Caenorhabditis elegans: one gene and its partner. The protein of the gene in region 1 purifies or fractionates together with the protein of each later gene. This does not show direct contact. Each region holds a gene or a part of one and is shown on either strand. Other genes may lie near its edges.

Evidence for each region. Proteins that work in one complex are often made in the same cells at the same time.
Region 2: the proteins of dnc-3 (region 1) and arp-1 purify together in Caenorhabditis elegans (affinity purification with western blotting; 2 studies listed by BioGRID, with this or other methods). This does not show direct contact.

What each region holds. Positions count from the first base shown.
Region 1 is NC_003280.10:3,552,028-3,555,144, reverse strand, and holds dnc-3 (DyNactin Complex component), read right to left. Parts: upstream 1,366-3,117; 5' UTR 1,310-1,365; coding exon 1,238-1,309; intron 1,188-1,237; coding exon 1,065-1,187; intron 1,020-1,064; coding exon 909-1,019; intron 857-908; coding exon 756-856; intron 707-755; coding exon 598-706; 3' UTR 528-597; downstream 1-527. Other genes in the region: W10G11.19 (DUF4105 domain-containing protein), read right to left, coding at 1,750-1,965, 2,009-2,375, 2,957-3,117.
Region 2 is NC_003280.10:15,118,284-15,122,039, reverse strand, and holds the start of arp-1 (Actin), read right to left. Parts: upstream 1,740-3,756; 5' UTR 1,732-1,739; coding exon 1,639-1,731; intron 1,564-1,638; coding exon 1,124-1,563; intron 358-1,123; coding exon 183-357; intron 133-182; coding exon 1-132.

The DNA.
Region 1 (3,117 bases):
CATGGTTAAGAACGTGCTGATTCCCGAATTTTTTGTAGATCAAACTGTAATGGGACAGCCTGGCACTATATGAAATTTATTGGGATGCAAGTACGCTCCACTGATAATTGATTTCAAAAAAATTTTAAAAATACTGATGCAAGCGCGCTCTACTGGTAATTAGCTGTAATTTTGGATTACAACTGCGCTACATAGAGATTTTGGGAAAATTTTGAAAATTACCTTGCTGCAAGCGCGCTCCATCGAGAATTACTAAAAATTTTGGAAAAAAGTGAGGTGTAAGTGCGCTCCACTGAGAAATATTCAAATTTTCGTAAAATCTAATAATGCAAGCGCGCTCCACGGAGAAAAGTTCAAATTTTTTGAAAAATCTAGTAATTCAAATGGAGAGAAAACTATTTTTCTTGCGAGGAAAAAAATTGGAAAAAAACAAATTTTCCAATTTCCCGAAACAACGTCATCATCTTGCCCACTTCGAAAAGTCGATAATTGCTGCCAATTCGTCTTTCTGTCTAACAAAAAACTTGTAGAATTTCAATTTTTACAGGAAAACAAAGAAAATAAAAATAAATTACAATCCAGCGAAAAAATATTTAATTATTTAGCTTTTGCGTTGATTTTCGTCTGCAGATCCAGCACTTTTTCGGTGATTTTTTGGTTGATCATTGACCGCTCGGCGACAAGTGTCTGGAATTCTCCGTAGGTTCTGAAATTTTGGAAATTTCAGATTTTTAGGCTTTAAAAACTGCAATTACTTGGTCCAGTCCTCCAGGGCCTTCTCGTATTTTTCGATTTCAGCGTCAAGCTCCGGTTGAAGTGCAGCCACTTTTGAGAAGAGCTCCTGGTCGAGGCAGGGCTGAAATTTTTTATTTTTCTTCAATTTTCTCTGAAAAATCGCAAAAAAAGACCTCAAGAGCATCTGAAAATTGTTTAATCCGTTCCGCTCGTTCATTGATCAGCTTTTCCGCGTATTTTACAGACTCTATTTTGTCAGTCAGCGATCCATATGGGCCGGATGTCTGAAAAATCGATTTTTCACAGAAAATTCAGTTTTTCCAACGTACTTCCGTGGCGATTTTGCTCAAATGCTCCAGCTTTTGAATGGGAATCGACATTAGCAGATTCGCCTTACAATCATCTCGTAATTTGGATTGAAGAGCCTCGATTTGAGAGGGAATTGATGTTTTCTGGAAAAAAAATTGGCATTTTTATTGGAAATTGCGCGAAAAAAGCTTACCGTGGTGAGATCATCGATTCCTAGAACTTCTTCAATTTCAGAAATCTTTTTTTCAAGCTCGATCATGTCCATTTTCAGATTTAAAATCAAAAGATCGAAAAAGAAAAATAATAATTGAGAAATTGTGTGCAATGGGACGTGACGGTGTCAATGCGTACTTTGCATTTTATTTGACGCGCAAGTGATTTTCAGTGTGGAAACTAGGATATCGCCTGCAATTCTACATTAAAATTGTCTGTTTTTTATTAAATCTTAGTATGAAAGCTTAAAACTGAAAATTTTCATCGAAATTTCTTGTTATTTCCTTAAAACAGCTAAAAAAAGGATTCTTTTGTCCGCAATCTACCGTGGCGGTGTACCTGCGGAACTGGCATTTAAAATGACGAGCAGGGAAAATTAATTAATTCTTAAATATAAATTTTTAATGCAATTTTAATCTGTAAAACATCAAATTAAAACAAATTAAATTATTTATTTTTACCAAATTACAACAGAGCAATTTTTTAAAATTCCTATAGCTCGTCCCTAGTCCACTCCACGGCCGTGAACCCTTTCTCTAGCTCTTCCACGTCATCATACCGCTCCAACAGATTCAAACGAGCAATTGGGAACTTGAAGTTTTCAATGAGCTCCTGGCAGTGAACTGGCTCCAAATTCCGAACCCATGAAAGAATTCCAGTGAAATTGTCGTTTTCAGCGGGTTTTGTGTGGATGCACCATCCTTTTTCCTGGAAAAAATGAATTTAATTTGAAGTTAAAAAGTGAAAGTACCTGTCGCCGAATGACAATATAGCTCGGGGAATTCACATTAAAAACGCTCATCACATACAGTCCAAACAGGTCGAAACCGGTTACAGCCGAAAAATGAGCAATTCGATCGCCGCTTTGCTGCTCGGCAGCAGATTTTTTGAATCCTTCAGAATTTTTAGAGTCCAGTGGGTCGAAAAATACGACCAGAGGCTTCTGGGTTCCGGTGGCGAAGAGGAAATCGGAGGGACTTGACAATTGATGACAGCCCGGGTGTACACCGTCCTCCAAGTAGTCGACCATTCGATTCCAGTTGAGATCCTTATGAAGTGTGAAGGCTTTTACGAAGGGGTCATAGGGCTTCATCGTGATGAAGGCAGGGTAGATGGACCTGAAAGATCGGGAAATTTGAAATTTGGAAAATTCGAAAATTTCCAGGAAAAAAAAACCAATTTTTCTCGTTAAAATTCAATTTCTTCTGAAAAAAAATACATTTTTAGCCAAAATCCCAGTTTTGGGTCTTGGCACGAACGAATTTGGCTATCGTGTGGGGGTACTGTAGTTGGAAAGTTACGTTCGCGGCAGGACCCAAAAAGTTGCGATTACGACTAAAAACTCGGACTGGCATAATATTTTTTCGATCAAATCCATGCTTTGGGTCTTGGCACGAACAAAACTTCTCAGCTACCACGTGGTGTCAGAGTGTCTCCTTTTTGATCTACGTAGATCTACAAAAAATGCGGGAGAAGAGACGCAGAGTTCTCAATTGATTTCCCATGGTTAAGAACGTGCTGACGTCACTCTTTGCTAGGGGAAAAATTCCTGGATTTTTGTAGATCAAACCGCAATGAGACAGCCTGGCACCACGTGAGCTACCATGTGGGGTACTGTAGTTGGAAATTTTCGTTCGCGGTAGGACCCGGAAAGTTACGGAAAATCAAATTTTGAACAACATTCTCCACCAATTCTTACCATTTCTTGACCTCCTCGGACACCAGCGCTGTCAAATGGAACCGCCCGTGATTTTCCCGCGCAAATTTCGCGTAATTCCTCCAAATCTGCGACTTTTTCGTGTCAATAAACAGAATTGTTACGGTTTCCCGCGCGCGATCAAATCCTGGGACCATTCCACT
Region 2 (3,756 bases), about 12 Mb from region 1:
TGATTGATTGACAACATGTGCCATTCCAGGCCACTCGGTTCCGATCAAATCCGGCTTGAAGAGCACTTCCGGCGCACGGAACAATGAGTTGGAGATTTCGATTTTCGTGGTGTCTGGCAGAGCGTAGGATGACTGAAAGAATGCGATTTTCAGCTCATTTTCACTGCAAAAAAAATCACTACTTTCACTGAATTATTCTCCACTTTCGTCGGATCCAACGCCAAATAGCACGCGTTCTCCTTCATCTCTCGGACAATTTCGAACTCATTGCTCCTGTGGAACTCGTATCCTTCTCTGCGCAGAAGGACTCGGAGGTATTCGGTGACATCGCGACCCGCCAAATCCATTCGTTGAATTCTGAAAAAAGGAAATTTTAGAATTAAATGCTTTTTTTAAAGGTGGAGTGCGCCCAATGGAGAAATTGCTTTAAAACACGCCTATGTGGTCACAATGACCGAATATCATGATTAAAAAATTCAAAAAAATTTTCCTGATTTTATATGATTTTTTGAAAATTGCAAAAATATCAGTTTTCCCCCCTAATTCCTATTTGAATTTCCGCCAATTGAATTCGTTCGCTGGAGCGCACTTGCATTATTTTTATTAATTTAAATTTTTATTTCATTTTTTCTCATTACTTCACTGATTTTCTTCATTCTTTGTGTATTTTTATCGGAAAAAGAGAGAAAAATTCAAGATAAATTGCAAATTATTTATTTAAAAATCACTGAAAATGGGTGAAACTGTGAACTAAGCTAATTTCAGGTTTGCTATCGCCGGAACTCATAATTTTACAGTTTTACGCATTTTCAGTGATTTTTAAATAAATAATTTGCAATTTATCTTGAATTTTTCTCTCTTATTCCGATAAAAATACACAAAGAATGAAGAAAAACCAGTGAAATAATGAGAAAAAATAAAATGAAATGCAAGTGCGCTCCAGCGAACGAATTCATATGGCGGAAATTCAAACCGGAATTAGGGGAAAACTGGGATTTTCGCAACTTTCAAAAAAAAAAAATCATATAAAATCTAGAAAATTTTTTTGAATTTTTTTATCATGATATTCGGTCATTGTGACCACATAGGCGTGTTTTAAAGCAATTTCCCAGAGTTTACTGACGCATGCTTCATTGCAAATCCCTTAACAATCGGAACAGCATGTGTGACTCCGTCTCCTGAATCCAAAACGACTCCGGTCGTTCTTCCGGTGGCGTACAGCGATAGCACAGCTTGCATTTGAATATATAACGCTGGAACATTGAACGTTTCGAAGAAGATCTCAGCAGATCGCTCGCGGTTCTTCAACGGATTCAATGGGGCGTCGGTGAGCAGAACTGGATGCTCTTCTGGGAAGATTTTCAGCTGATCCTGTCCGAAAATGTACTCCCAAATTTTTTCCATATCGCTCCAGTTATTGACGATTCCGTGTTCCATTGGGTATTCGATTGAGAACAACCCGCGGTTTGATTCGGCCTTTGGTCCGATGAAAATGTCTCCGTCGAGCCCTCCGGCCATTACTCTGTGATATTTCGGTCGTCCGACGAAGTTGGCGAAGCGAACCTGTAAAAAATGAATTAAAAGATGATTTAAAATTCAAAATTCAAAAATCTCAAGTTTTGATTCGTTATTGCCTACCTTTGGCTGCTGTTCTCCGGCGAAACCAGCCTTAATGACTCCGGAGCCATTGTCGATGACCACAGGCTGATTGGCGATGACGTCGTAGTCCATTTTGTAACCTGAAAGATAAAATAACAGTTTTAACCAAAATTTGAGCTTGAAACAATTAAAAAACCCCGGATTAATTGGCATTTTCTGTGGAAACAAAATTAAATGAGAGTTGCGAAATGTACGCAGAGTTGCAGCCGCCGTGTTTGCGGACAATGCATCATTTGCGCGGAGAAATGGGGGTTTTGTACTTTGGAGGACAGAGGCTGAACAAATACATAGCGAGAGTATCGGAAACTATTGATTTTCCAATAGTATAATAAGAATACATGCACCTATACTTCTGGCAAAATATTACAACAGGATTCGATGCGGACCTGAGCAAAAAGAAAGCAATCCTCTTACGCGCGCGCCTTTAAAGAGTACTGTAATTTCAAACTTCCGTTGCTGTGGAATTTTCATGGATTTTTTTGGAAATTTTTCCATAAAAATATTTATTTAAAATGTGTTACAGTTTTTAATCACCAAAACATTGGAAATATTTTGCAATATATAGCTCTAATTAGAGCTCTAAACTGTTAATTTCAAAATTGAAGTTCAAACAACAAAGTGGGCGTGGCCAAACGAGACTCCGAATTCCGATACGCAGTTTGCAGTGGGAATTGATGAATTTCAAGTTTTAAATGAAGTTTTCGAGATTTTGTTCACCGAAAATAGAAGTTTATTAACTACATACAAGACAAATTAGCATTTGAAAACAAAATGGCTTGCTAGAAAAAAAAACCTGAACCAAAAAGTAAGTTGATAAAACCAAAAAACATTTTTCATTCATTTGAATATCCTATCTTGTATTTCTTCGCCGAAAGTTGTCCAAAGTTGGAGAAAGTTGTTGGGGAAAGTTTCTCGAAAGTTTCTCGAACCGTATACAGTAGTCATCACTTTCAGCAGTTTCTGTGTAAATTTTGCGTAGATCACAGTTTATTTATCTCTCAAATCGTATTTCTGTTTTATTGTTATCTACAAATACATTGTGATCTACGTGTGATCTACAAAAACAAACGCCTCTTGCATTGTTTTTTAATCTTGTCGTCTATACTACACACACACACACACGTCTCCCATCCGGAATGATACTTGGCACAGTGCCCGCAGTGTTGTGATCTCTGCGCAACATGGCCCTCTTCCTCCCTCTCTCGGCGTCTCTCACAATAGAGTGCTGTCTGCAGACCGTTGTGGTGCACAGTTTTTTTTTATTGTTTTCTGCTTTCAAATCCTTGTTGCTTTCATATTTTCTGCTCGTTTCTTTTTCCATAATTGAAAACTGTTTATCGAAATAATCTTTTGTAGCTTTGCAAAGTTAAACATGTTTCATTTTTTCTCACAAATTCCGACAGAAATTTCATTTACTTTCAGTGACCACCACGCCAGTACAAGTACCAGCTCGCATGACTAAAGGAAGTTCTGATAAAGACAATGGATACGAAAACATCAGATAATCGTAGTTTGGATCGGAATTGAGTGATGACATGTTTGAGGTATTGCGCATGTGTCTTCTGCCACATTTTAACAATTTTTAATTTAGGAGGACATCTACATGACACATAGAAGTTTGTCAATCTGTTGTCAAGACTCCGACTACAATTGCACCATATGAAAATTTTGGCGAGAGAAATGAAAAACAGACGTACTGGTTAATGGCCGACTGTTGTCGATGTGGTCCGAAGAACTCTATTTATTGAAAGTCCTGAAAGACTAGGGTGAGTTTCAGCTTGTTTAAAAGAATACATATATTTACCGAGGGGAATTTGAAATAATTTTGTTATGTATTTCAGCTCCGGAAACAGTTTTTGCAATCAGAAGATCCCTGGAATTCCTTAGAACACTCGCTCCACATGCAAATTGTCGTCGTTTTGAAGGAGTCATTATTGGAAAACGGGAACACTCGTGGTGGATCTCTTCGAAATTGCATTGCCGCGGTGGGTTTAATGAAAAATATCGGAAGTGCATACTACACTGGGTCATTTTGTAGACTTGTTGGTGGGCATTTAGGGGGGGGGGCGGCTTCCTCCGAGCCTGCTGTGCCTACCT